Lepisosteus oculatus: one gene and its partners. The protein of the gene in region 4 binds, or shares a complex with, the protein of the main gene of each other region. Links are inferred from orthologs where the notes say so. Each region holds a gene or a part of one and is shown on either strand. Other genes may lie near its edges.

Evidence for each region.
Region 1: kat2a (region 4) and yeats2 share a complex: the UniProt entries of both Homo sapiens proteins name them as parts of the ADA2A-containing complex. The link is inferred for Lepisosteus oculatus from reciprocal best matches to the Homo sapiens genes KAT2A and YEATS2.
Region 2: kat2a (region 4) and tada1 share a complex: the UniProt entries of both Homo sapiens proteins name them as parts of the STAGA transcription coactivator-HAT complex. The link is inferred for Lepisosteus oculatus from reciprocal best matches to the Homo sapiens genes KAT2A and TADA1.
Region 3: kat2a (region 4) and dr1 share a complex: the UniProt entries of both Homo sapiens proteins name them as parts of the ADA2A-containing complex. The link is inferred for Lepisosteus oculatus from reciprocal best matches to the Homo sapiens genes KAT2A and DR1.

Annotation. Positions count from the first base shown.
Region 1 is NC_090708.1:11,813,395-11,821,083, forward strand, and holds the start of yeats2 (YEATS domain-containing protein 2), read left to right. Parts: upstream 1-4,680; 5' UTR 4,681-4,751; intron 4,752-6,944; exon of another isoform or gene 6,945-7,158; 5' UTR 7,159-7,223; intron 7,224-7,415; exon of another isoform or gene 7,416-7,484; intron 7,485-7,689. UniProt on the Homo sapiens protein: Chromatin reader component of the ATAC complex, a complex with histone acetyltransferase activity on histones H3 and H4. YEATS2 specifically recognizes and binds histone H3 crotonylated at 'Lys-27' (H3K27cr).
Region 2 is NC_090704.1:31,671,040-31,678,784, reverse strand, and holds the start of tada1 (transcriptional adapter 1), read left to right. Parts: upstream 1-4,739; 5' UTR 4,740-4,956; coding exon 4,957-5,030; intron 5,031-5,983; coding exon 5,984-6,075; intron 6,076-7,317; coding exon 7,318-7,383; intron 7,384-7,745. Other genes in the region: fam20b (glycosaminoglycan xylosylkinase), read left to right, coding at 123-314, 836-895, 1,920-2,151. UniProt on the Homo sapiens protein: Probably involved in transcriptional regulation.
Region 3 is NC_090704.1:1,929,495-1,936,674, reverse strand, and holds the start of dr1 (protein Dr1), read right to left. Parts: upstream 3,003-7,180; 5' UTR 2,473-3,002; coding exon 2,253-2,472; intron 1,752-2,252; coding exon 1,588-1,751; intron 1-1,587. Other genes in the region: retinol dehydrogenase 8, read right to left, coding at 5,797-6,030, 6,498-6,681. UniProt on the Homo sapiens protein: The association of the DR1/DRAP1 heterodimer with TBP results in a functional repression of both activated and basal transcription of class II genes.
Region 4 is NC_090723.1:5,256,013-5,263,432, reverse strand, and holds the start of kat2a (histone acetyltransferase KAT2A), read right to left. Parts: upstream 3,009-7,420; 5' UTR 2,963-3,008; coding exon 2,735-2,962; intron 1,941-2,734; coding exon 1,817-1,940; intron 1,435-1,816; coding exon 1,289-1,434; intron 659-1,288; coding exon 569-658; intron 1-568. Other genes in the region: rab5c (ras-related protein Rab-5C), read right to left, coding at 5,653-5,768, 6,781-6,874, 7,151-7,273. UniProt on the Homo sapiens protein: Protein lysine acyltransferase that can act as a acetyltransferase, glutaryltransferase, succinyltransferase or malonyltransferase, depending on the context.

The DNA of each region.
Region 1 (7,689 bases), on a different chromosome or scaffold from region 4:
GAGAGGCTGTCTGAAGTGGCAAGGGATGTCAGTCTTGTGGGAGACGAAGCAAGTGAGTGGTGTACCACACACTCCCAGGCAATTCGGAATATTATACCTATAGGGGAGACAGAAAAGTGGTTTTGTTCTAATTGTGACTGTGTTGAAGGGACTACACTCCCTTATGAGTTCTCCAGCTGGCTAATAAAGACATTGTCTGCATGGTAGACCATTCTTATTGGAATTGTCCTCCTACATTTATTTTATAGAACTGAGCCTCTCCAACCAAAGATTCAAGCTTACACACCCTGTGATTCAGATAATGGATTTATTTGATCTCCTGTTTATTATATATGCTTAACATTTAAAGATTAATAGTCTGTCATCTCAAGAACAATGCAGTGAAGGCCAATTATGATTGTAACTGATGCTGAGATATTGTGGCATGCCTTCATTTAATCATGGACAGGTGATATAATAGCCTTTTCTGGTGTGCTAAGTTGATTTGTTACTGAATTTTCTACTAGACTAGTTATCTTACTTTGCCTTTAATTACAACACAAGTGCCTTGAAATTATATATCAATTTAATATTTTGTTTGTTTGTTTGTTTTTTAATATTAGAGTATGAGAATACACAGCATTTGGTTAAGGAAAACATTCAAGCCAGTTTAAGTAGAACACCTATATCGAGAGGGAAAAATTAAACTTAGCAAGTAAAAGGTAAATCAAAGAATTCCATAGAACAAATAAAGTGAAAAGTGTACTGATTAGTCTGCTCACATTTACTGTTTATAGCATAACATAACTGGTACACTGACACAAGAATTTCAGGAGCAAACTTAGTTGATGGTGTATGCCATACAATGGTCAATTCCACAAATCATTATTTTATTTGGAGAGATTGTTGTTATGTAAAGGCTGCATGTTAAAACTAGTTAACCTTTTTATTGATAAGCCAGTAATTGACATGTTGTGTAATGGTTGCATTATAGTATTGCGTGATAATTTCTTTTCTCTCACCTTTCATTTTATTTAAACATTTTGTATGTGTGTTAAGCCACTTGCGTATGATTGTACTAGATGTATCACTGATGCCTTAATAAAGTAACTTTCTCCTAAATGATTGCCATTTTTATTGAAACTTTTCTGTTGTAATTTTACTTTGAAGAGCTAGGGGCCTCATCACTGCCTGAAAATGTTGGTGGGGTGGTGGCTGCTTTCGTGCTTCTAAACATTTGCAAAACCTTTTCTTGCCCAGTGAGTCTGAAATAAAATAACTATTGAAATGTAGCAAATCCTATAAATCAACAAAAACTTTATTCCTATTTAATAGTCACATCAAGCCGCTATGTAACAAATGTCAGTGTTTGCCTAAAGAAAAAAAATGTAAAGACTTGTTAGTGTTGATGTACATTAAAGGGGTTGAAAATGTCAAATTTCCCAATGTTATTTATCCATCATAAACAAATTCAGAAATCATTTGTTTTACACTTAAGCCTACAGTTTGCAGAGGAATTTACAATAAATACTCTCGTCCTCTTTTCTTATTTTGTATTTTTCCTCTGTAATCCTGTTATATGCAACTTCAGAAACCTAAAGAATTCATCATATTGGTTCAACTGTGAAATGACTGGGCCTTTTGCTGACTTTGGAAAGATGTACAAATGGCTAAGGAATCCATAGCCACATCCTGCCACTGTTTGAACTTATGTCCCCTACAGCACTTTTTTTGTTTTAGGCCTCGAAAAAGCAGTCCAAACTCCTATATACTCTTAAATTCAAAACACCGACTACTTATGGATAATACATTGTATTGCTGAAACTCTTTTTCCTACAGCGCACTACAGAAAAATATTTTTGTATAAACTGTTTTACCAGTTGATCTTGCGTAAGAAACAGTAGTCTTGAACATCAGACAGCTGCTTAGTTTCAGTGAATCATGTGCAAGCTACCAACTTGAATTTGAGCACATGGGATGATCTATGAACCCTAATCCGTCAAATCTACAGACTACTACTCAGCCATTAAGGATGACAAAAGCCAGGTCTGTCACTTCGACATGTTTGTTTTCCTCAACTGGTAATGTAACAGTTAAATACCTCTTTAACTTGATGGTTAATTCTGCAAATGTCATAGCAGGCTAAAGGCTATACAAATATACCAAAATAGCTGTGGTACTGTATGTGTTTTGCTTCTCAGAACTGATACTTGGTATTTCAAAACCCATGCAGTGATAGACTTAACATTGTTTTTCAAATGTGCTTTACATTAGGTTTCAAGTTAGATAAATATATTTTAATATTTGAATTTGAAAATGAAATGTTATTCTTTTATAATAAATGTACATACATGTAAAATCTGGAATATACTTAAGCAATATGTTCAATTGGTTCTACTAGTGTAAAATGTAATATGTTGAAGTATTAAATAAGATATACTTTGTTTTCTAACTGTAGTTTGTTGAAGTTGGCACTACAAAAACCGCAGTATATTCTACCTCACGTGTTGACTAGCCTTTCATTAAATCTCTGTTGAGTCTTAGCCAGCATAGCTATTGCAAACTAAAGTTCTAAATTTTTATTAAGCTCTCATAACTAGCTAGTAGCATTTAAATGGATTACTGTTGTTTAGGCATTACATGAAATGATCTGAAGTTGATGATGTATAACATAACATTTAGAGTTTTAGACATTTAACAATGTTTTATGTTTAACATTGTGAGTAGTCTAAAAGTTTAAACTTAAGCAGTGCAGGCTTGTGAAAATGTTGACACCACATGTAAACAACTCCATTTATGAAGAATTTAAAGATTGTTTAAATCTAAAACCAAGACATTTTAACACACAGCTCCTTGCTGCAGCATCTTAATTCATAAAGTCAGACCTAGAAATGTATGCATCAGTGGCATCATAAGTGCACTTTGAAGCAATGCAACATGCATATCTGTCAGGTCAGGTGAGATTAAAACAACTTTCAAAACATAGTCCTTTTTTTCTGGGTACCCCAAATCAATGTAGAGGAATCTAGGAACAGGACCAGGACCACAGTACTGTCCTCAGTTTCCAGTTTACCTAATCTAAACACTTTGGATGTGGTGAATCATTAGAAGAATGCTGAACACCAACTGGCAGGTGTGTGTATTGTTTGAATTCACTGTGCTTTCTTCAAAAACAGTAAAACTGTTCTTCTGAGCATGAGCAAATATTCGAGTCGCAAAACCCAAAGTTGGGCAGGGGTAGATTTTCAACAGTTTTGGTACCTTATCTTCATGGCCTTACTTTACTGCATTGTATTCTGTACCTGCTCAGTACTTTAGTTCTGATTACTCAGTCCTGTATTCAAGACATATACTGTAATTAGAACATGGTAATAAAGCTATACACAAAACATATGTTACAACATGCACACCAGCATTTTCTTAAATGTTAACACTACTGTAGACAAAAACAAAATCATATATTTATACTACATGATTGGATCTCACTATTTGTAAATCAGCTTTCAAAAGTCATTCTTTTTATAAAGGTGTTGTTAATTACACCTGTTTTTCTTGTCTTTCTGCTTGCCTCTCTGGTTCTGCAGTTTTTGCATTTGATTCAAATCATAGTTTCGGTTTAGAATTTTGTTTTACAGGCTCATTTCTAATCAAGGAAAAGTGGGCCTCAGAGAGGCTTCATGTGGTTCTGCAGAAAGAATGGAGGTGAAGAAGTACACTAACAGGCTTCGTGCAAAATAATCTGGTTTCCCTTGTTAGTTCCCTAGTAGTCAGACTGGAAATGCCTTTTCACTTTTGTTTGGCACAGTAAATAGCAAGATTCAGAAAACAACACATGAAGACTAGAATGTGAGAAAAGAAATATTGTGCCACTCCAGTAAGGGGTTAATGTATGGTGTCTACACAAAGGATTTAATACCAGAAGACAGATGTCAAACATTTGCAACACCTGCCCTCACAAACAGATTCAAAACAGAATATTAAAGAACTGCTCCTTCATTGTACCAGTTTGTTTACACAACATTCATAGAACCTCAGCAAAACTGGGCAGACCTTTGTTCTTTTGTGTGTAGAAAGAGTCTTTAGTGTCATAATAAAGAAACCTAAGACGTCAATATGTTTGTCAGACAAAGGGCTCAAATGATCCAGTTTTTCTTTTCACAAAAATTTCCAAATAAGCGATTCAAAAGCATGATATTGTTGCTTTAATCCAAGATATGGTCAGGTTTTTAGAAAATTTGAATAGACGCTAGGAATACTCTTGTCTTGATCTGCACCATTTTGTAAAGGTGGATAGATATCAGTGCCGCGATATCAGGTTGTGTAGAAATGGCATCTAAAGAACCACATACTGTACTAGACTGTTCCTTTAACACAATAATGATATTTTACTTAGCAAGTACCTTTTTTTTTAGTTATCGAACAAGTTAAAAATATTAATCTAATTTTGAAAACAAAATAATTCAATGGTATTTTATACTTGTTGGTCTACAATGATCAGTACTGTATGCTTTTCTTTAACATGACAAATAGCTAACATTAGACTACTCCATTTCATTTTTGTAACAGAGCAGATTTCATCCACAGCTTCCTGGGACTGACCAAAGTGTGCGTATCTGTGTACTGTATATCTGTATCAACATAATCCAGGTGAAAAGCAGAGGGTGAAATAATACGTCAGCAGTATTTTGATCCCACAGGGTGCTGTAGTTTCTAGAAGGAAAGGTGTGCAGAACAAAGGAGTGCCCTGAACAGGTCCTCATGGCGGGGACCAGGTGAGTAATATTCATATGAAACAGGGCGTACACTCCATGATGTTTATTTTCCACTCAGTGTTACAGTCCATATTACATAAATACTGCTAATCTCTTCCTAGCTTTGCATCACCCTATAGCACATCAAAGCAATCATGACAACAACAACAACAACTATAATTATTGCTTTTATTGTTGTTCTTATTTTAGTTGCAGTTGTGCTGTTTTTGCAGATTTTCTTACTAAATATATAAATGTTATGGTTTACATGGAGAAAAATGCTTAAAGACATTACAATTGATTTCTCCACATTTAATTAATTTGTTAAAACTGTGACAAATCAACCTCAGGGTTTCTGAGGCTGCAGGAGTGGTTATTAATGAAGCGCGGCAAAAAAAAATTCCTCATGTCATTTCATGGCAAGAATTCAAGAGAAAGGGTTTCGTTTCTTATTGTTAGGCTTTCAAGCAAATATCTTAACACTATATCTCTTGCATGATAATATTTCACACATATCATAAAACCAGAGAATAGCACTGGTAATTTGCATTAGTAATCAAGATATTTGCAATCCTTCAGTGAAGCTTAATATGATTTTCCTCATTCTAAAATTTGCCATTTTTGAGCTACTTCTAGTTCACAAGCTTATACGGTAGTACAAGTGTGTCACACCTGAAGAAGGCTCCACGGCCGAAACGTTGTGTTCTCTTTCTTCTTTTTTTCAGCATGGAATAAACATATTACTTGTTCCTTTGCAGCCTATGCATGCTGACGCAGCTACCCACCTGAACTACTATTACCTTTATTACGTGTGCATACGGGAGCCAAAGCCAATGACTCAATTCAGATACAAAAGGACGCTTTTTATACAAAATCACAAACAGAAAACCCACCCAGAACAGTTCCAGTACAATTCCATGCCATATATATTGTAAAGCCAAGGCTGCTAGCCTTGGTACTGTACGTGATAAACTGTAAGAATATTCTTGGGTTCCTTTAATTATTGTTTAAGCAGACAGTATGTACTTCTAGATTTTGTTTATCATGGGTTAAGCAGATATCGGGCACTCTCAGTTCTGTTCAGGTTGTCCGATGCTGGCTCTGCCCTTCATGTTCCAGGTATGTAGCCGGCTCACACTTAAGTTGCAGTTAGTAATTTTCCATTATTCTAGCAGGATAGTTAGTAAAATTATGTTAGTAAATGATTTACACAGTAAAAGCAAATTAGTGAAATAAGAGACGTAAATGTTTGATCCTTCACTTTAAAATGGGCTTCAGTTTTCCCATAAGATGGTGTGAGAACTTGTTGCACTTTGTAAATTCATGCAATAAGTGACTTCTTAAAAATGTGTTGCAGGGAAAAAGTAAAAAGTAAAATTCTCTGTGGACAAGAATATGTGGACAAATTAAACCCCTGGGAAATGCAAACTTTTGTATTTGTTTACTGCTGTTGTGCATTGCATTGGCCGCAATAACTGCATCTGAGCACTGCACTGTTATCGTGTTCCTTGTACTTAGGCCCAGTGTTCTTCTAAGGTAATAAGACCTCACTAAAAATGCAACATCTATATTTTGATCAATGATCATAACTTAAACACTGGGTTCTTGGCATAAATGGCACTGAAACTGTGAAATCAGCTCCTGTATTCAGGACATCCTTTTTAGTTTTCACTGGAAGTCAGAAGCTTTGTCTGCTTACAAAATGAATAAGTCCAAAGATGTGGAAACATTTGGGCACACCTTAAGCAAACAACAACTGATAGCATTGCAGGCATCCTTCACAAAACATCCTTCCATTGCTTTACGGAAGAAATAACATTTTCTTTTGTTCTTCATTTAAGTAAAACCAGTGACTTCTGCTGCCAAGAATACTGGCAATATCACAATGCCTAAGTACATTTCATTTTCATAATGTCTCTTTTAATGAAAATGCGATCTTATCAGGTCCAGAGAACAGGGTATATTTTATTTTATTTTTTTTGTTATGAAAATAGACATCATTGTTATTTTCATCGCATTAATAAAAATATCTTAGGAAACGAAGTGACTTTATATTCCTCTGCCTGTCATACACAACGCTTAATACTATAAAGTCCCATAAATGTTAGAAAACTTCAATTATTGTACTGGACTTTATCACTACCTGTTGTGTTCGTTGGCACAACATTGCTAGGATGTACAGAGCAATGTCCTCTACCGGTTACTTGACGGTATTGCGTGGCCTAGCGTTCTCTGCAGGTTCATGGCGCTCACACATTAATGTCCAAAAAAAGTATTGTCTTTGAATCATATCTCCCGGTGATATATTACCCTTTTCGGCGCTTAATTTCTCGGAATTATACCACCATCAACGCGCTAATAGTCATCTTTTACATTCTTTGCACCTCCAGGCCAAAACTAAGTTGCGTATCCCCGTCTGTTTCTGCAGTTTCTCGGCGCTGATCCCGGGCATAAGATTGGGGAAGTTTGGGAAGACGGGCTGCTTGGAACTGGGTAAGGAATTGACAGCAGCCGTTTTATAAATCACGAAATCCACGATTTTATAATAGCAGTATAACCAGATTATTGCTCGTTTGTTAGGATCTCTCAAAATAAAATTGAGCGGCGAGCTTGAAAATTTTATTTCGGTGCAGGCCGCAGGCTTTTACCGGACTCGATTAATGATCATTCCGGGTAGTAGCTGCAGTACTAAGGCAACACAGAACGGAAGAATATAGTGTGTTTTTGCTTTAATATGGATCTGCTCCAAGCTGTGTGAGTTTCATGCTTGATAGCGTTACGCGTTATTAGTGCCTGACACATGGTTTTATCTTGTAGTTATTTGCAATTCATACCGTTTTTTAAAAGTGATGTCCGCAGCACAGTTTACTACCCGGTGATTTCAGGCAAATAACGTAATTATTCGAAAATACAACTGATTCGAAGTTTAGTGCATTTGATTATTAATCTTTTTATTGTG
Region 2 (7,745 bases), on a different chromosome or scaffold from region 4:
GTGGGTGTGCGTGCGGTGCGAGAGCAGTCTACCACGTACCCCTACCGACCGGGGTGCACAGCGACGTTCCCGCCGCCCCTGCCCGCACCCTGATGCGGCCCTGTCCACGCTCCGCCCGCCAGGTGGGAGTATGACGAGAGCTACTGCGAGGCGGTGAAGAAGATGGCGCCTTACGATGCCGGCCCGCGGCTGCTGGATGTCATCGACACGGCCATCTTCGACTACCTCATCGGAAACGCCGACCGCCATCACTACGAGAGTTTCCAGGATGACGGTGGAGCCAGCATGCTCATCTTGCTGGACAATGCCAAGAGGTACGACGCAACGGACCACTTCCTGGGGGATAAAGCAGATGGTTTCTGGCATTAACTGCGCCAGTTCTGTTTTTTTTCTGATGTCTGCTCTAGCAGTGCTAATCTCCCATAACAAATTAACTGGCAGTGATCTGTGCAGAAGAGTAAGAGAAACCTTATTTTTCTTGTTCAGACTTGGTCACAGCAGCCAGTGTCTTTTTTCATTTAATTACCTCTCCTGTTTTTAATCCTGTTTCAGCATGTGTAATTTCACCTCCCAGTTACTGAACATACTGTTCTTTCATCCTGAGTGGTCTTGGTGTGGCTGTTCTAGCTGAATTGTTTGAGACCTGGTGAATACAGGACTTGAATCAGGAATTTGGAGGAGGTGTAGCAATATTATATATCTATATGAAACCTCTAGTGCTCCTCTAACATCATTTTAGAATATAATATTAATCGATGGACATGTTTTGCTCGATCAAGCTATTGTTTGCCATGTGAATGGTGTGTGTAGCTGTGTTTCTGTGTTTGCTCGACAGCTTCGGGAACCCTGCCCTGGACGAGAGGAGTATTCTGGCTCCACTGTATCAGTGCTGCACGTGAGTATCTGCATCTCTGGCCGCTCTGCGGTGCTGTTCGTGTGCTGTTTCCCAGGCCTGTCTGCTCGAGTGTAGACATTCCCACTCTGGGGAACTCGGCTCCTACAACTTCTCTGTAAATAATCTGGATATACTTGCCTCACGATTGAAAATTTCAGGTTTCTCCTGTTTCTTCTTGGCTATTTTAACAGCTCATAGCTTTGTAAAAGGATAATGCAGTTTCTTATTTAGAACTCACAAAGCTGTGCACAAAGACCGTTTCCCCAAGAAAAAAGCAACACTTGAAAGCACAGTAACACGTCCTGAAACCCTTTGCTATTGCGTCATTATCATCACACATGTCCTGGGGTCTGGCAGCTGCTCACACAGCGCAGCAGAAACAGAGACGGAGGACGTCTTGTGACTCCACAGTCATGCGGAGGGCTAGTGGTGCCAGGCGCAGGCGTTGCCACCCTGTGAAATTCCTGAGCCTTGGGGCCGCTCCATCATAGGTACTCCAAATTCTAGCTGCCCTCTGAGCGAAGGTCTGTAGTGTGCTTCAGAGCTGATGGCTGTGCTGTGTGTTTGTGCTTTGATGGGCGGAGCGGTGGCTCTGTGGCTAAGGATCTGCGCCTGTGGCTGGAAGGTTTGCCAGTTCAAATCCCGCAGCCAGCAGAGGAATCCTACCCCATTGGGCCCCTGAGCAAGGCCCTTAACCCCAGCTGCTCCAGGGGTGCCGTATAAATGGCTGACCCTGTGCTCTGACCCCCAGCTTCTCTCCATGTCTGTGTGTCTCATGGAGAGCAAGCTGTAGTATGTGAAAAGACAAATTCCTAATGCAAGAAATTGTATATGGCCAATAAAGTGATCTTCTCTTATCCTAAAGCCACATACAGCACCAAAAAATGATGCGGGTCTTGTTTGTCTTTCCCCTGGACTTGAAGGGCGGTTGAGGGCTGTGGGATTCCTGGACAGGCAGTGTACGCCTCCATGTCCGTTAGCTTTTGGCCTGATGAACGCCCCTGGGCCGCTCTCTCCTCTCCAGGGTCCGTGTGTCCACTTGGAACAGGCTGAACCTCCTGCGGAACGGGGCTCTGAGCGCGGCCCTGCGCACGGCCACCGCTCACGACCCCCTGTACCCCGCGCTGGCCGAGGCGCACGTGACCGCGCTGGACCGCCGGCTGGAGAGCATCCTCGCGACGGTGCGGCAGTGCATCGAGACGCAGGGCGCCGAGAACGCGCTCATCGAGGACCGCATGAACCTGCCGCACCCCTAGGGACCGGGAGAGGGGCCTGGGGGGGGCAGGGGAAGGAGCAGCCGCTGTCCTGGGACGCTGTAGCCCCTGCCTTTTGGGCCTCCCCACCCCATCCGGTTTAGAGCAGTGGGGCGCAGGGGTTACCTTCATGCTGCTGGACCTGCTTGGAATTTCCCTGCTTCAAAGGTCAGCATCGCTGGATCCACAGCGGGAGCTTCCATACTGTTAAGTGACATTTCGAGTGTCTACGCCAGTGGTGGGCGTGAGGCGCTGGGGTTGCCGGGCGTCGCTGGACACGAAGCAGAAGAGGAGCGCGGTCTCCTTGCCCACCGGTCTCGGGATTCTGTCTGGGGAAGCCGTCACCGAACTTGCCTCGGGCAGGACTGTGGATCGAGCTGCCGGCTGTAGCGGGGGGCCTGCGGTGCTTTGGAGCCCTGGCTCACTAAGGGACAGCGAACTGTGCACACTAAAACGGCTCTTTCCAAAAGCGCGCGAAAGAGGACTGGGGCCGGAGGGTGGGGTTTGTCTTACTGCGTGAATAAACCTCAAGCGCTGCGGCCAACGCAGTCGAAACCTGCCCTGAGCAAAAGTGTATAGACAATGTGTTAATAATGTTGAAAATAATTCTGGGAATTGTCATTATAATATTATGTAAAAGAACTGAGGATTCAGAGTTTAGGTGTGCTGTATAGCTGGGGGGTGTTTATCTGGACTGGGACGCTGCTGGAATCCAGGAAGGGTTGTACTGGGGGTGGGGGGGTAATTGTGGAGATGATTTTACATTAAAAAATGAGGTTTAGCTGCTTTTTTTTTATTTACTACACCTGACCTATACTTCCTTTCTGTCGTGGTGCGAGAGGAAGTGTAGTGTGTGTGAAAGGGAGTCTCTCTCTGGTCTCCCCAGGAACAAAGCGAGAACACGGCTTCTAAATTAAGAGCCATAAGAAAGTGTGACTGAACCTCCAGCTTCGACTTTCATTTCCTAGGTGCCAACCTTTTGCGGTGCAGCTGATAAAGAAGTAGCATCTAAGACCGTCTCCATTTCTGACCCGGAGCTGAGCAGCCAAGGGTGACGGGTATCACTTCCTAATAGGTCAATTTTAAAATACGGTAACTTGGCACTATTCATATTTCTCTCTCTGTGCAGCCTTTGTGAGACAGAAAACATTTTTCAAGGTGTATTTTCCAGTCCTGAAGCCCCAGATACATTTTTAAAGGTAATAACTCCCCAAGTTCTAAAGACTTGAAATTATTGATCTGTGATCAAACAGGTGATAATTTAGAGATCATAGGGCAGCAAAATCGGGGCATTTGGTTTTAGCCCTCAATTGCACAAAGTACTTGGATTAATTTATCACGAATTTTCATGTTTTCCCAATTTCTGTAAGACTGGACTGGGGCTCTGCAGGATCTGATGCAGGTAAGTCTGTGTTCAGCTGAAACGACTCCAGGCCTGGAAGGCAAGAGGGTTTCTGGTTGAGCTTTATTTATCTGATTGAACTAGTTGTTTGCTTGATGGGTTCAAGTTGAAACCTTTTTTTTGTCCTAAAGGGCTACAGATTTGAAGAGCCCTATTAAACCTTCTGGACAGTGACCCTGAGGAGCACAGCTGGGTTCCCTGGTCTACATCTACTTATTATTTAATTTTTGGAAATGTTTACATCTCCATTCTAATGCGCGGCAGCTTGGTGCTCTAGTTGTCTGCCTGTGAGATTGAGATGAGGTCACCCGGTTCTGTTCAGTGGGTGAAGACTCTTCAAGAAGTTCCTCTGGGCGGATTAGAAGATTTAGGTATTATTCTGCTTATGATCAAGAAGGCATTTATTTTTCTCTACAAAAGTTTTTAAAAGGGTAAGGTGCACTGTGAAGTCCTTACACTAGTTTTTGTGAGTTTATTGTGCATTTGAAACTGGAAGCCGGAGGCTGGGTCCTGTGAAGAGTATGGTATCAGGGTGTGGTATCTTTGGAACAAGTTTTACTTACATATTTTAAGTACTGAATGTGCAACAAAATGCCTGGTGTAAGAGAGAAAGAGATTTTCTTTATAAAGTTGCTCATTTCTACTTCTGCCAATACTAGCACGGATATTCAATTCAAGCTTTATTGTCCCTAGGGGAAATTTGTTTTATATTGTACCGTTTGTTGTAATGGTTTAGATATGCGACTGAGAAACTCATTCATTTTTGCTCCTGTAGGGCTGTAGTCCACCGGGGTTCATAGGTAAACTATAATCGTTCATCACTAAAGACCTGGAAACGGTGATATACGACTGCATTGAAGCTCTCATGAATCAAAGTCAAGAAGTGAAACGCATTGCTGCTATCAAGGACAAATATACTGATGGGGGGGTGGAGAAACGCAACATTTTCTGGAATGAGAATACTATAGGAGGAGGAGGAGGAGGTGTTGCGTTTCTTTTTTCCATCAGTGTCTTTCATGTGTGATACGAACTATATTTTTCTTCGTAACTACGAGACGCACATGAAATATTTTTTTCTTGATGGCAGTAGTGCGCTTCCTTAATTATGAGTTCAGGAAGGTGTAAAACGCAATGTACAGCGGTCCTCTAAGACACGCATGTAAAGACATATCCGTGCCTTTGGTACCTGGACTGCGCTTCCAGCTCTGATACTGTAGGTGGTGGCGTATGTCAAAGCGGAGTGCTATAAAAATACACCAATAGAGGCGTTTTTAAGGAAGTTTTGTAAGGGAGCAAAGCGGAAGACTGCAACTAGGCGGGCTTTCTCCCCCCTTAGCAACGGTTCCTCCGTACAGCCTAGCAACCTCCTCCGGATCCAGCATAGGACCGGGGAGTAGTCCGGCGCTATGGCGGCCCATGTCAGCGAGCTGGAGGCGGCGAAGAAGAACCTAAGCGAAGCCCTGGGAGAGAATTTGAAGCAGTGAGTAGGCCAGGCTAGGCTGCCCGACCATGCCTTTAAAGACGAATCCCCGCCCAGGGCTGTAATTTACCAGCGGAGCTGGCTCCCAGCGTCAGACGCTGAGTAGGCCTTGTAAAGCAGCGGGCTTTCCTGGCGTTGTGTTCCCGTCTTCCGCAAGCAGTACCTGCTCGCTTGCCTTCTGTTTAGAAACAAATGCTTGCTGTATTTCTATTCGTTATTTAATGCTTTTATTTGTTGTCTTCTTTCACCTCGAACACAGGAAGTTACTTTTAAATTATTTTATTTTTCTTAATTCTGAGCAAAAGTAGCACAAATCACGGTGGTGGGTATTCGAAACTCTGCTAGTTCTGTTCGGTCTGCTTGTTTGTCTTATGGACGATGTGCATTACTGTTCAGTTCAAGCCGCTTTTACAAGAGCCAGAGGTTTCTCTCCGTTTGTGTTATTATTTGAGAGAGTTTACTGCAACATCTGAGTCTTAGTTACTGTCGCAAAGTTGGAGCTCAGCTCTTGTGTAGTTAACGGGACTCGCCGGCGCATTTCGTTGTTTGGAATCTCGCTCAGGGCTGTTCTTGGCTTTATTTCACCGGATTGAAGTCGTTTTGCTGGCAGGCAGTTTTGTTCTGGATTCTCGGTCATTAATTTAACGTTCACTTGTAAGTGTCCTGTTCCACCAACCTTCCTGACTTCGCAGGAAATCTGCGCTGTGTCGTGTCTCGTCTCCTGCACACCTCTGCAAAGCCTCCTCACAAATTTAGTTTTGTTCCGGGCTAAATTCCAACGTGTGGCAATGGTGGCGGTAAATTCCCGCTCACAGGTGTATTCAGCGTGTGCTGTGTACAGCACCATCACTTTGTCCCACACAACCTGGGGCGCGTCGTGTAGCTGCAGAGGTTTGGAGTGTGTCGCAGACGGAGGCGCTCTCTTGTACAGACGTGTCTGTGACTTTCTGCAGGTACTGGGCAAATCTGAAGCTGTGGTTCAAACAGAAGATCAGTAAAGAAGAGTTTGACCTCGAGGCCAGGCGGCTGCTCAGCCCAGGGAACGGTAAGAACAGGCCTTCTGCAGGGGGGCTGCTGGGTAAGACTTGTCCTGCTTTATTGTAGTTGGTGTCGAAACCTTCAGCAGGTAAAAGTCTTCCACTGCAGCGTTCGGACTGCTCTGTTTGGTGGAATATTTTGTAAATCACCATTCGTTGGATTTTTTAAAATTTATCCTCGCACGTTCCTTGCTTTCTAACAGTGTTGTCTTGAATAAAGTGATTCCGAGCCCAGGGTTTATCGGTTGGGGTAAAGCATTCAGGGCACGTGTCTTTGAGAGTGTCCTGGTCAGTAAGTGTCCCTATGTTGCATCTTTCATTTTACAGGAATATAAAACATTTTACACACACTTTCATGTTTAGGATCTGTCTAGATATTTGCTTGTGGCACTTATTTTTAATAATAAAACGGTGTTAAACCCAATGTTCAAAAAGTTTTGAATGCCTTCTGTAGATAGGTGTATAAAACTCCTTATTTTAAAGTAATTGTTTATGAACAAACAGAATCCTCACCAGTTTTTTTTTTACACCCACTTGATTTGGAATTGCCAGTTGAGTGTTTCTCATGACTCAGCTTGCATCCATAATCCCTGCTACCTCAAAGGGGAATGTGCTCAATTGGCGGCAGACTCCCCTCACTCTTCCATCTTTGAGCCTGTTGTCACAGGCAGCAGAGGCCCACACCTAAGGCTCAGTGCTGATTGGAGGAGAGGCGTGCCCCTCGCCAACAGCCCAGCATGCCTGCAAGTACTTGGAAGCCACAGGTGTCATTGTCAGCAAGAGCCGAGAGAGCCCTTGGTGGACTAACCCTACTCATCCTTGGCACTCAAACCACCATGCTCAGTTACAGTTGGCTGGTGACATGACCCACGCCTCATGAAAAGCGCACGTTTACTGGATCCAGTCATTTTTTGGCATAGTTTTTTGTTCTGAAGAAAATCTGCGAAGGTCTGACTTAACCTCCTAAGGCACTTTGACATATAAAAGATGTGGCACAATACATTTACACTGGTTTTAAAATGTACACTGTAACTCAAATCTTGTCAGTTTGTTACTTTTTTTTTTAGTTTTCCTCATTTGAGAACTTGGCTTCTTAATTCTGTGAAGTCAGCAGTTTCATTTTACCTTTTCAGTCAAGTGTGGTAAATATTAGAAAGTTTGAATGCCAAAAACATTTAGGAGATTAACCCCTTGTGAAAGAGGAGGATGGATTGCCGCACACACTGACACCTGCTGGCATCTCTCTGCAGTGCACTTCCACAATGACTTCCTGCTGGCCATTCTCACCCGGTGCCAGATCATGGTCTCCACCCCAGGTAAGAGGCTTTGCGATCGCAGGGAATTTTTTTTCCTTTGTCAAATTGAAAACAAGACCACAGTCAAACTGTAATATGTCTGGAATGTTGAAACTGTGTGGTAGCAGTTCCAGTTTGAATTTTGCCAACTTTAAAAAAAGATAATACTTTTAACTGTCCTGGAGATTCCATGGTTATCCTACATACAGTCATACCTGAACTCTTCTCTGAATCAGTAAATTGGCATCCTATGCCTAATATTTCTTAAAATTCCTTCATTTCCCCACATGAGTTTTGGTTAGTAGAAGTTCCCTTTCCCTGGCACACAGACAGTTGTCAGTAGATGGCAGCAATCTACACTTAAAGTTCGGGTGCAGTAAGAC
Region 3 (7,180 bases), on a different chromosome or scaffold from region 4:
TGCAGCGCACACCTCGCCAGCTCCACCGGCGTTCAGACACTCCTGCAGCGCACACCTCGCCAGCTCCACCGGCGTTCAGACACTCCTGCAGCGCACACCTCGCCAGCTCCACCGGCGTTCAGACACTCCTGCAGCGCACACCCCGCCAGCTCCACCGGCGTTCAGACACTCCTGCAGTGCACACCTCGCCAGCTCCACCGGCGTTCAGACACTCCTGCAGCGCACACCTCGCCAGCTCCACAGGCGTTCAGACACTCCTGCAGCGCACACCTCGCCAGCTCCACCGGCGTTCAGACACTCCTGCAGCGCACACCTCGCCAGCTCCACCGGCGTTCAGACACTCCTGCAGCGCACACCTCGCCAGCTCCACCGGCGTTCAGACACTCCTGCAGCGCACACCTCGCCAGCTCCACCGGCGTTCAGACACTCCTGCAGCGCACACCCCGCCAGCTCCACCGGCGTTCAGACACTCCTGCAACGCACACCCCGCCAGCTCCACCGGCGTCCAGACACTACTGCAGCGCACACCTCGCCAGCTCCACCGGCGTTCAGACACTCCTGCAGCGCACACCTCGCCAGCTCCACCGGCGTTCAGACACTCCTGCAGCGCACACCTCGCCAGCTCCACCGGCGTTCAGACACTCCTGCAGCGGACACCTCGCCAGCTCCACCGGCGTTCAGACACTCCTGCAGCGCACACCTCGCCAGCTCCACCGGCGTTCAGACACTCCTGCAGCGCACACCCCGCCAGCTCCACCGGCGTTCAGACACTCCTGCAGCGCACACCTCGCCAGCTCCACTGGCGTTCAGACACTCTAGCCCACAGCCTCACAGCCCGCAGCGTTGGCTCAAGCTGCTAGGGCTCCGCTGGAGCTCCCATCTTCCTGTTGTGGACTTCCTGTGGCTTCACCTTCACCTGCAATCTAAACCAGTCTTGGCCCTACAGGGGCTGGGGCACGCAGCCGACGGGAGAGGCCACCCTGTACCGTACACTGCTCTGTTAGCCCTTCCACACATTCAACGAGATCGAGGTTTGGACGGGGCTGGTACTTTAACGTCACGGCACCAGCAGGACAAAGAGGATGTGGACCACACCGAAAGCTTCCCATTCCTCACTTCAGTAAGCGTGAGGACTGCTCCTCTGCTGAGGCGGGCTAAAGAGCGTTCTGACTATGAAGGCAGCACATCCACAGAAAATGAAACACCCGATCGAAGGTCAAGGCGGTGTCGAGTAGAGGGTGAGCCTTTGGACTCTTGACTGGCAGGCTATGGGTACAAGTCCCCACTGCAGAGCGCTGGTGTACCCCCAGTGAGGTACTGTAACCAGCTCTGCTCCACCAGGGTAAACCAGGATGGAGCCGTGGGGCTCTTGTCTGCATCATTCTACGCCAACCAGGATGAGCTAAAGCATCTTGGGTGTGGCCTCCTGTCATTTGTATCCTTATGTCCTCAAACAGCACAGAGCACTACTGCACGCATGATCCAGGAAGAGCAGACTCCCACTTGCACCACTGGGGCAGAGTAGCAGACCCCCCCAGCGTTGCAGTGACAAGGTGAGGAGACGGAATGCGAGTTTGGCGGCTTTACCTTGGCGAACAGCTCCTGCTGCTGCCGAAGGAGCTCCTCCTCAGGAATGCCGAGGTTTTCCAGGCGGGAGCTTGCCTTCCTCCTCTTGAGCGCGACTGTTTTGCACTCTTGCAACACATCTTTTACTTCGGTGATGTAGGAGGCAAAGCCCAGGCTCTCGAGCGCTAGACAAAACAGACAGTCCTGTTTTAAGACACCCACGAAAGTCACTGTTCCAGGTTTAAAGCACACAGTACCTCCGGCACCTCTGCTGTAATTCATGACACTAAGCATCAGGATTCCTGTCATTTCTCTCAGGAAGCACTTTGCTCCCATCATGTACAGAATTGTAAGGATCATGACAAAGCTTCGCAGCAGGGTTGGTCTGTCTGCGTTACATTTAAATAAATCCAGGAGGTGAAGGAATATGTACATCAGAGGGTTCGGCTGTACCCAAACCGTAGAACGCGTTGCCATAATTGTTTCTTGTCCCTTTAACAAGCAAGCCACACAATACAACAACAGTGTGTGAAGCCTCGCTGTCAAAGTCAGCGAGTGGGAGTGGTTTTAAGGGGGAGGTTAAAAACGAGACCCATTAGCAAACGATTTAGCCGCACAAATCTGCGAGCAAAACAGTTCGCCCCCCCAAAAGAGACTGAATAATAGGCATCGGTAACGACTCTTACCGTGTATTACATGCTCAGGAGAGATCGTTTTCTTTTCCGACTTGTTACAGATCTCGTTAGCTTCCGACGAAATGAGGTGGATGAACTCAGTGCAACAATTCACCACCAGCTCCCTGGCGTCGTTCGCCACCCGCACGTTAGGAAGAGTTTCTTTAATCATTTTATTAATAGCTGCCCGGGGTATAGTGAGATCGTCGTCGTTCCCAGACGAAGAAGCCATTCTGTCCTGCCGTCCTTTTCCCGAAACACTGAACCTCAGCTGCGATTCGACTCCACGGCGGCCCGAACGGAGTCTCAACTGCACCAACCTACAGCTTCTCCGCCAAACTCCTAAGTACACCCCAAATCCCTGCTTTTACATCAATGGCGCTGCACCCTGCACAGTGTCTAACGCTGTCAAAGCGACCTATTGGATTTTTCATCCACCAGAAAAAAAGCGTAGGAGAAACCAACAGGATCAAATCAGCCGGTCTCCAAGCAGATTTCCTATCGCCTCAGCTGCTATTTAATTTACACATGATCCTAAACTCTTTAGACTGGCTTCCGCTGCATTGTAATTCCACAGTTTCGAAGGGACTGTTTTTCTCTCTCTCTAATGTTATAAACAATAAGGCTTATAACACCAGCTCCGAGAATAACATAATACTTTTGTTAATTCATTTCGGTGCTCGGTCCACAGCACCAGGCGTTGAAGCAGCAGGGTTTCTAATCGATTCCGGAAGCTATCCCATATTGCAACGGGTGACGTTTTTCCGCATCCGGCGACGTCACGGAATGTTGCCACACAGCGACCAATAGGGGGAGTTCGAGCCAGAGGGATGCTCTGTGGCTGGGTCTGAAATTGCCCAGCGTGGAGCTCCCTTGAAGTCGGCTGACCTGCAGTATACGCATAGACAAACAAATGCATTTTTAACTCTGCGTGAGAATAACGTCCATAGCGTAGCCTAGAGGCTTATCAAGCCTGATCTTATCCTGAGTTCGGCAACAGTAAAAGGACTGAAATTACCCCCTTACAGGTTGCTACTTCATTGCAGGTTAACCCACGGAAATGCTGGACTCGTTTGCTCAGCTGGGTGGGTAGGAGTCGCTGCGGTGAAGTAACCTCCTTTGAAGGTGCAACAGCGGTGTTCCCGATTCACAGACCTGTACTCTGCGCCGCCCCCAACATCTACTTCGATCGCTTTCTGGCTGCCATGAGCTTTAGCGACACAGGATAATAATAATTCCTCGCGGTTATATAACGTTTGTTATCTAAAAGGATCTCACGTTATCCGCCACCTGGGCGATGCACAGTCAGCAGCCTTTTATCTTTAAAAAAGTTTTGAATATAGCAAAAAGTTTAATAATTTACTATAAATGTATACTCTGTAGAATGATAGTTAAGTTAAAGATGAGGATAGGTTAGTGTTCATATAAACAGCACTGAACTACACCACTGTGATTCTATAGATGGATTATATATAGAATATTCTATTCCAAGAACCTCAGTTTTATTTTTAAATATAATATTAAATTTATATTTATACAACTTAGTCTAAAGTCTTTAGTCTTAGTCTTTTTATTGTTTTTACAGTGACTATGATCAGCACATTTTGCACACACCTATGTATTTATTTATTTTTATTTATCTTGTTTGTCTTTTGTTTTATAACTATTCTGATGTCTGTTTTGCTTGTCTTGGGCTGGACTGCTGTAACACATCAATTTCCCTACGGGATTAATAAAGTATTATCTATCTATCTAAAGCTGTTTCTATAAAAGCTGCTGGTGTGCTTTTGATAGGTGTCATGTTTCTTTTTTTCCAAAGTTTTCTTCACCATTTGCCAGAAAAAGTACACATGGGCTTTATCTTTAGGATAGACACATTTCTGGTTGATTTTCCATTGGCAAGTGAAGTTACAGAGTAAGATTTACCAGGTGTCCTGCTTGATTGTTGCAGATAAAATGGCTACATATACAGAAGATTTGTGTTTGTGTCACTTAGATCTTTCACTGTGTTGTGGGATTTAGTTTCAGTAAATCCCATTACCAGGCCATATGTTTCTAGAGCTGGGCTTTGATTTAATTACTCAACAGTCTTTACAGAAAGATTTTATGTTAAGTAACCTATTGCCTTATCAGGCAACATTGATTTATGTTATCATTTTATTCTAATTACAACGAAATACTAAAGATATACCATTGGTAAAATGGCAAAATGATGACATTTCATTTAAAGTACATCAATACCCCACTTTCAGAGGTAGAGCCCTTCTGATTTTAGTACTAGTGTATGACACTGATTGGTTATATTTTTCTCCAAATAGCGCTATTACTCAGAGTAACCAATTTCACGAACGCACTTCATTAAATGTTAATGTACTTCATGCAGGCAGTACACCCCTTTGACAAAAGACCTCAACTGCCAATTGACAATTGCATTTAACCTTAAGTGCATTCCAGGAGAAGACATACTGTACACTGGTCTCTGAATAATGTAGAGATGCATAGCTGTGAATTGGTTATTCTTATTTGGTGAGTTCCAGATGAAGAATGTGCTGTAGAAATTCAGTGGCTCTGAAGAGCTGCTTGTAAACGGAGTGTACACATGCTCTTCAGGGCTGCCTGTCAATAACAACTGAGAATAAAGAATTCAAACACAAGTGCAAAAACAGTGTGCCTCATTCATTACTGAGAACTGTCTTTTTACAGCTCTCTCAATCCTCATCCCCCACAACCAGCTGGGAGAAACGTATCACAGGTGCAAGGCTGGACACTCTTGGACTCTGACAACCTTTATTAACACTCCATTAACAGGAAGAGTTTCTCTAAATAGAACCACATCTCATCTCTATCCGTTTACACAGTTTAGGAAGCATATACAATTTGCATTTTGTTGTTTTATTGCATTGGAATGTAACCTTTTGTACCTGTTATCCATGGGGTTTTTTACTACGAGAACGAGACTCAGACTTTATGAACACCGTTCTGGTGCCTTTTCTCTAGGAGAGACGGAGAGCCCATTCAATGCTGCCCAACACTCCAAGTCCCTCTGCGCCAGTTCCTCTCATTCGACTGCCCTTGCTGGCAGAGTGGGTTATTACTGTAGGTGATAATATAACAACAGACAAGCAGAAGCGACAAACAGTGACCATTCAAGGCAGCACACCATTCACCATTCAACACCAAAAAACAGATGAAAGGGAAATGGCGTCAAGCACACACAGCACCAGACTGGACTGTACTTGTTTCAGACTCGATCTTCCACGCTCTCCAGCTCAGGCTATTAAAATACCTCTACAGAATGAAGCATTAGCGCGCCGAGGAAAAACTCAGGTTTGAAAATCAGTTGTTTTTTTTAAAGATGCACCACGCGGGCCTTTGCTCTAGACTCATCCACACGCTTGTCCCGCCTTCGGGGCGGGACAGCCCTGGACTCGAAGTCTCCTGAGCAGGCTTGCATCCTGGCGAGGGGGGGCTAGAGAGGCTGGGCGCGGGCGAGGCCGTCCTTCCGGAGAGCAGCTGCAGGGGGCGGCGGCGGCGGCGCAGGGGCATGCCCGCGGCTCTAGGACTGGGGCTTCCCCAGCGAGAAGCTCTTGCGACTCCTCCAGCGCAGCAGCTTGATGAAGTTCAGGCTGGCGTTGAAGACCTTGTCGTGCTCGAACACCATCTTGTAGAAGGTGTCGATGGGCAGGTCGCCACTGGGGTCGGCGTACTTGAGGGTGGTCATGGGCGTGTAGAGGGTGTTGGTCTGGTGGCGGAAGGGTGGGGTCCCTGCGTTGATGATCTTGAGCGTGTGCTGAGGAAGCAGATGTAAAAAGCTGAATCTTTATGAAAATTAAACAGGAAATACTTCAATTTATCATTTTGGTTCAGTTATATAAAATCAGAATAGGCAATAATTCATTTTCTGTTCTGTGAAACTCTTTGCTGATGGGCGATATGTTTCATGTCTGAAGAATAATGTTACTTTCCGAGAGGCTGTGTGATAGAAGGAAATCAGCAATATGCTGTGTTTACTGCCTGAACTACACATGCAACATCAGCAGCTGTTTGCCTTAAACACAGCTTTGTGGTATCATCCAGGCTACACGATGATCCATTATCATCGACTGCTCCTAGGTTTATATTTTTATTTAAAAAAAGCTTCAAAGTGCCAAATGAATAATTGTATATTTGACCCAGTGACCACAAATTACTGGAGCTGCACATGGCAAACAGAATACTGGAAGTCAGGAGCTTATTGTGCATGTCTCCGATCCCTACCTCTGCTATATCTTCTGGAGACTGGCCCAGGCTCTCGAAGATCTGTTTGTAGTTCTTCATGTAGATGTTGGTGAACATGTCTGCGGTCACTTTGTCCGCTTTGGTGAGGTCTGTCTTTAGGCCTTCCTCGTAAACTTTGCGCTCGAATTCTGTGATCACAGGGCCTGGTTCGATAAGGCTGATGCTGGAATTGAGAAAGTGGAAAGACAAGTGTATTTCTTTCACGCTCTCAGGCAGAAAAACACAGGAGCTGGCCAATGACATACTGAAGTAGTTCAAGTAGGGAGCTGTGTCAGGAACAAGTAAAGGTTTATTCCATGCTGAACAGCCAAAGTGGAGTTTTGGCTCCACAGCCAAAACATTATGTTTCTTTTCTTCTCTTTTCAGCATGGAATAAACCTTTACTTGTTCCAATGACATACTGTCTCATTTTAAAAGAAACGGTTATTGATCAATGCCAGTATGGTATCACGCAAAGGTTTATTCCATTCTGAAAGGTCAAGAAAAGAAACACTGTTTAGGCTTCGGAGCCTTCTTCTTTTCCTTTCCCTTTCCTTCCAGAAGAATGAACCTATTCCTCTGCAGCCCAGGCATGCTGACGCAGCTCCCTGCTCGGTTTACAGCGTGACCTTGTCCGTGATTAAATTCACCGCAGCTGTCTCCAGGATTTATTCTGCTTTCCT
Region 4 (7,420 bases):
AACACTGCGATGGGGAGCTGCCTCTTGCTTTCCTTCAACCCCTTGAACTTCACGTGGTACGGCTCGAAGACCTGTTCCAGGTGCCGAACAACGTTAACGCGCCTATCCACTGAAGGGTCAGAGTGCAGTATTCTGTCCTCCAGTCTTCCGAGGTCCTGGAATAGAGCTGCAAAAGGCTCGGGGGGACACTGCCGGTCTTGCTCTTCCTCTTCACCGGCGCTCTTGAGAGGCTCGTCAAGCTCCTCCTCGGTGAACTCATCTTCGTCCTCCTCCAGAGGCTCTTCCAGCTCCCCAGGGTCCGTGTCAGAGAACAGTTAACGGACGCGAAAGGCTCAGAAGCAGACTAACACACCAGGCACGCGGGCCTGCGGAAACGCCGTCGCCTGCCCGGTAGCTCCCCAAATTCTTTTTTTCTTTTTGACCCACGAATAAACGAAACCGTGAAGTATGAACCCACGAAAAGCGAGGGATGACGGTATAATGCGGAGCACATTATACAACAACACTGTTTCGAACCACCGCAATCTCTGAAGCGCTCGGCTCGCCGGGCGCTAGCTACAGACCTCACCTGCTCTATGTTGGGCTTCTCGAAGGGAGGGCAGCCCAGAGAGCCCTCGACCACTGGCCGGCTCATCTGCAGGATGCATTTCCTGAGCAGCTGGGAAGACATGGGGAGAACGCAAGCACATGAGTGGCCATTGAGAAGAGCCTCGCAGCTCGCCCTGGACATCTCCGAAAGGAAGACACGGCCACAAGGAACACATTTCCAAATCAAGATAAGACCAGATCACTTAATTGGCCATGTGCAATTTCTTGCATTAGGAATTTGTCTTTTCGCAGACCCCAGCTTGCTCTCCATGAGACACAGACAGGGAGAGAAGCTTGGGCTCAGAGCGCAGAGCCAGCGCCACGCAGGCCCCTGGAGCAGTTGGGGTTAAGGGCCTTGCTCAGGGGCCCAGTGGAGTAGGATTCCTCTGCCGGCCGCGGGATTTGGACCGGCAACCTTCCAGCCACAAGGGCAGATCCTTAGCCACAGTGCCACTGCTCCTCCCCAGGGCTAGTGGCTGCTGCGCGGGCTGTGCCACCTAGCTCCGATTACCTGTATCGTTTCAGAGGTCTCCTTGAGTCACCGGCAGCTCAAGGCCTACGGAAGGGGGTGAAATGAAATGGCCTATGTCCAGATGGCCGGGCCGGTTCAACTACAGGGCTACAATACCTGCTCCGCTCCCAGGCTGGAGGCCTGGACCCCAGGGGGCGCTAGAAGACGAGAGAGCAGCAGGGCTCGTACCTTGAAGAGGTAAAAGTACACCTGCTTGGTGTCCGTGTCCTCCTCCTTGTGCACGGACATGAAGAGGTTCTCCACGTCCACCACCATGCCCAGAAGGCGGTTGATCTCGTCCTCGGAGACGTTCTCCAGGTGGGAAACGTGATCCGCTGTGCCAAGCAGGGAAGAAGAGCAGGATTCTGGCGTTACCATACGAGGTTTTCACCCCTTAGTGGGCGAAACACTACGCGTTATTTCACGAGTTGGCGATTTCCTCCCTGAGACATTCATATGTAACCAAAACAATTTAGATGTTAACCAGTGCAGCCAGTGATCTCATTTTCTTTATTCTTTCATTTAAAGTCCTAATCTTACAGCCAATGCCTTATTATGCACACAGGAAACCAACACTCAAAGATCTAGCAGAGTATGTGAAGATACCTTGTTAAGAGAATCAGTATGCCATATTCAGAAAACACTAAGGTATCAAAGTCGGGCCAGTGCCGGCAGCATGCAGCGGATCTGAAGGAGAGGGCGGCGGAGAGGCGATACCTAAAGCGTGCCCACAGCTGCGGCAGGGATCACTGAGACAGGCTGCCTGCTGCTGGAGATCCATCCGCTGGGCAGTGGGAGGGTTAGGGTTTTTCCAGCCATTGCATTTACAGGAGTCATTGGCCTTCAAAGACAAGACAAACAGTCAGATACGAGATCATATCTCCAGCGTTTCTCCGCAGCGCGAAAATCGGTCTCCGTTCATCTTCCATTACCACGGCGCGACCAAGCGGTCCTATAAAAATAGAAATCATTGCACTCAATGCACAAAAAATGTACTGATCGATACTGATTTAATGTTACTGCGGAACCAAACTTCAGTAGGTTGACTGCGTCTAATTTGCGATTTGCAATTTAATGTTCTGCCTACTGTCAGCTTGAAAACGTCAATTAATAAAATACTAATAATTAAATGTATAATTATTCTCTGCCGGCCAATTGTTCAGTTTCAGACCAAAAAAACTGCTCTGAACTGTAGCGAGTTCTGGTGATTTCAATGAGCCTGGGATTTAAAAAGACGATTTGGACTGGAATCACAGTAACAACATTATAGCCGGATATCATCGCTGCTTCACTTGTTATCCGGGGTTAAGACGACACCGGGCAAATATAAACGAAGGTAGTTAAGCATGACAGGGACGTTTTAATGCCAAAACTCCACAGAAACGTAATCTGGACCAGTTTGCATTGCACGCTGTGTGCTGGGAAGCGGGCCAGTAGGTGCGACGCTGAACGCCCCGCTCTGGATCAGCTGAAGAGCGATCCCATTCATTGATCACTTCACGGCCCTCGACACACACACCTACAGGTCGCTTGCAGGGGCCGGAGGGACAGCCCGCCCAGCGGGCACACGGCCCGGGTCTCCCGCCCCTGCCCCCCCACACCGTGCATTCATCCCATCGTCCGCCGCCGACTTACCTTGCAGGCGGAGAAGACCCCGAGTTTCTCCAGCTTCTTCGCCCGCGGGAAAGCTCGGACCTGCGCTTTCTTCTGGCTGGCCCGCTGCTGTTGACTCAGACCCGGCCGGGCTGGGTCGCTGTTGCCGGATCCGGAGCCCGAACTCGTGTTCGACGCTCCCGCACCGCCGGGCTGAGCCTGCTGCTGCAGCCGGGGTTGCGCGGAGGCCTGCGCCGCCGGGTCCGCCATAGCAATAGCCGCAGTCGATTGTCTCTCCTGCCGTTGTGTTTGTGAACAATAAAGTTTTGTTGATGGCGGCTTGGCTCCAAACTGCGCATGCGTCACCGAAAGGCGTTCTGGGAATTGCCGTTTGTTTTTACATTTGCCTAGATGGATTGTTTTAAATTACGAAATTGCTTTAGATACAGGGTCTTTTTAATAAATAAGGTCACGAGCTCTCATTGTGGGATATGGCTTACGCCGGAGGACTTGAATGAACAACACGCATGACAATGACCAATGTATATTTGGTCATTATCATGCATGTTTAATTTAACGTTATTTGTGCCAGCTGGATGTGCTAATCCTCCTAACCACTAGGCAGCGATACTCTGTTGTTACTGACGCGGCTTTTGTTGTATATTCTTTTTGGAGTAGGTGGGATTCAGGTGAAAAGTAATTAAAAAAAAGCTGGTAGAAGGAGAATTAAAATTCGCTGTGTTATTTAGAAAGGTGTAGCATCTAACATGTCACCAGGGTAAAAAAAAAAAGGTCTGGCGAGCGAAATGTGTATTCAGACACAATGGAGCCAAAATCAGCTCTCACGCGTAGAAACAACGCCTGTCGTACATTTGTATCGCGTCTCATCCACAGTACAAAGCCCAGGCAGCGCTAAGGAACTTGTTAACGTATTTAATACTCCGGAAGTGACTTATTTTCCCTAAATCGGATTAGCTGCATTTCCACTGACGCCTGAATGAGAGGAATTCTCAAACCTTGGGATTGGCACAGAGCTACCCAAACACACAACTTTATAAGACCTAAAAATTAAATAAAATGCACATGTAAATAAACTAATTTTGCTTGCAATTAATCAGCTTGGTACAAAAACCAAAAGGCATTGTGGTCTCACCAGACCAGGATACCACAGCTACCACAACTACCAAAAACTATCACAGCAGGTGATATCCATATACTTCAATTCTGTGACTTCTGAACCACCTCTAAACATTTTGCCTGCAGTAAAAACCCAAAGTTCGATTCTGAGGCATCCAGCAAGTTACATTAAATGGGGAGACTGAGGTGGACCAAAATCCTTGGACACCTAAAACTGGGACAAGATTTTAAAGTTGGTCCGGGATTGGGAAACTATTTCATGTCTCATTTTTTCAATAACGCTTCAATTAATCTGAGGTTTATACTATACACAGCATAGACTATAGTAATCTATAGAAAATGACCTTGTGCCTATGTGAAACAATTTATAGGATGTTAATCAATGATCCATCATTAATTTGCAGTTTCTCTGATCAATGAAGCAGACTGTTTACTTGAATGACAGCAGGACCAGAGACCATCTAATCAATTGACACTCAAGAAAAAAAGTTTTGCACAGTTTCACTGTAATTAGGTGTAATTGTTAAATTGTCCTATTTGCTTTGGTTTAAGGGCAAATTTAACAATGACATCTCTCAAATGTGCGAGTGAACAGCGTCAGACTCCTGTGGTATTGACTCTTTGTTGGTCATTGTTTTTAATCCGTGCGTGCAAGTGAAATTCAGTGGACAACACTGCTTAGACACGTCCCCCTCCATGTTTATTGGTAGAATTACAGAATGAGCCTCCCCATACTTGAAAACAGGACTCCTCCACACATGAGCTGAGCCACACAGTGACAGCACACTCCAGCTGACAGGACAGCTTTGTTCTGTTGTGCCAGTCATTAATGTCATTTAGTGACAACACAGCACGATTCCAAAGGACTCCAAAAACAAAGACAAGATGTTATCTGCAAAGTCTCTACCTGATCGACGGCACCAGTGCATGTTACAACAGAAACCCCAATTAAAAAAAAAAAACAGGACCAGTTAAAAAAAGAAAACTCATGCTTTCCAACACAAAAATAAAGATGACAAAAAATACATTTATATATTGGGAAGGTACTGTATTGACCATTAAGTACTGATTGGTTACATATTGAAGAAAAAAATATACAATACAAATACAGCAAAATAATCTCCAATACTCGTAAGTGTGATTTTGGTCAGAAAAAAAATCTGGCTTTTTTTTCCATTTTTATAAGTTCAACAGATTTGAAAAATTGTTACATTAATGCTAAAAATGACTTACTGGTATAATAATGACTGTTAATGCACTATGCATATAGTTGTGATTCTTACACATAAATGATCAAAAACCATGTTAGGCCTATCCTATTCATTATATCCTGTTTTGCTTGTGCCAGAATAGTAATAATATCAATAATAATCTACAAGATGGTTAATTTGGAAAGAGATGCAACTCCCCCAATTTCTCCCACCCTCCCGTGCCTTTGTGCTGGGGAGGGGCAAAAGACGAGGGTGGAAGGTGGGAGAGGGGCAAAAATAAAAAAAAAAGAATTCGCTACATGCACCCACCACCAGAGAAGAAGGTAAGAGCAGAAGCCAGTATAATACATTTGTTTTTAAAAAGTGACTTAAGACACCACTGAATTAGTATTTGTACAGAAAGATGAGAGAGAGGCTGATGGAATGGATTCTCTCCAGCTTATGATTTAAAAGAAGAAAAAAAAAATCAAAGCAGCAAAACCAAGGTGGGGAGGGAGGAGAAAAAACCCACAAAGCTGCACGCTCCGTTAAGTGCGATCGGGAAGAATGGGCTCGGGTGGATCTGCGCGACGTCGTCGGGTGGTTCTGTTCGGTCCGCTGCCTCTCGGCGGGTCAATTACTGCAGCACTGACTCCGGTTCTGAGGGCTGCTTTCCTGCAGGTCCACCCCTCTGGTCCTGCCCGCTGTGCCCGTTGCGCTCTGAGGCTCGTTCTTCGGCAGCTTCTTGGCTACAAGATAACAGACACGGCAAGCTCAGGCGGCGCTGCTTTGCTGGAGGGGTCGCGACCCTCAGTAACCCATAGCACAGGTTTTCAAACTGGCATCCAGGGAGCATGAGCCCTCTCGAACCTGGGCCCACCCGACTGCAGAGGCCTGCCCATTTTCAGTCTTGCTCTTCATTAATGGAGCCCTCCGTTCAAGTCATTTTCTGATTTAGAACTAGATTTCTCATCTCCTACACTGAGGTTACGTTCCAGTAACCTTAATTAAATTTTCACTTTTAGGAGCCAAGAGAACCAACATATATTTAAACCAGCGAAGCACTCACCGAGAGTTGAGCTGGAATGACAATTCGGCAGATACTGATTAGGATCGGGATTCCTGGATGGCGATCCAGACACCATCAACGTCTCTCCCCCCACCCCCAATATTAATTTGGGCGCAAGAGTCCAAATTTAGCTGGTGTGTGGGGAGCGTTCTGGCGCACTATGGCTGCCGTCGCATCATCCAAGTGGATGCTGCACATTGGTGGTGGTGGAGGGGATCCCCATTACTTGTAAAGCGCTTTGAGTGGAGTGTCCAGAAAAGTGCTATATAGGTGTAAGCAATTAATATTAATAATAATATTATTTAGAGTAACATGCACCAGCTGTCATCAGTACTTCTCCACTGACGGACCTACTTTGAAAACAAACAGCTGTGCTTGAAAAGAGGGAACCCCCTGCAGGTCTTTGCTTGGAAAAAGGGGGTACCCCAGCCAGGGAAGTCCAAATATACATTCTTTACTTAAGGTGACATAGAAATGAATACATTTCTCTAGCTTGAAAGTGTACACGTAGGACCTGACAGACACTTATGCACAAAGCTGCTATTTGTACCATGAGCATCGTGGTAATGTGGGCAGGGCGAATTTTCACAAGTGTGATGGTGGGGGTTCACTTGAATGAGACTGATTTTTGCATTTTGCAAGACAATAGTCCAGGCTGGGTGACCCCCCCCACCAAGGGGCAGATACTGTACCTATGGCCATGAAGATTTCATTCACGTTCATCGCCGTCTTGGCGGATGTCTCCATGAACAGCAGGCTGTTGTCGTCGGCGTAAGCTTGCGCTTCCTGGAAAGACCGACGAGACACGTTTGTGGCGATGAGTCTACGGAGCTTGTACCCGAGTCGCCCCCCCCCCCCCCCGCTGGCGTGTTTCAGCCCACTGACCACCCCAGACATCGTCAAAGCGGTATTCCGCACACGAACGCAAGGTCTGCTGTAAAGTGGACGCGTCGACTGATGGCGACAGAGAAAACGGCGTACAGTGTTGTGTAGCTCGAGGACCTTTTCCGGGAGGATTGTGTTTAAGGTGGTTTTCCTGCACGTGCCAGAAAACAAGCTCACCTGGAAGTCCACAGCTCTTTTGTTGGCCAGGTCGGCCTTGTTGCCCGCCAAGGCGATGACGATGTTGGGGCTGGCTTGTCGCTGCAGCTCCTTCACCCAGTTCTTAGCTCGTGCAAATGTGTCCTGTTGAGAAGCAGAAAAGCGCACAAGTGCTATTCCCTTGGAAATCATTTAAACAATTACGACTTTTTGGAGATGCAGTTAACCCAATAAAAAACAATCCTGTATTGGCTAAGCAAGCCATGCACTGCATCGTGGTAACTCCAACCA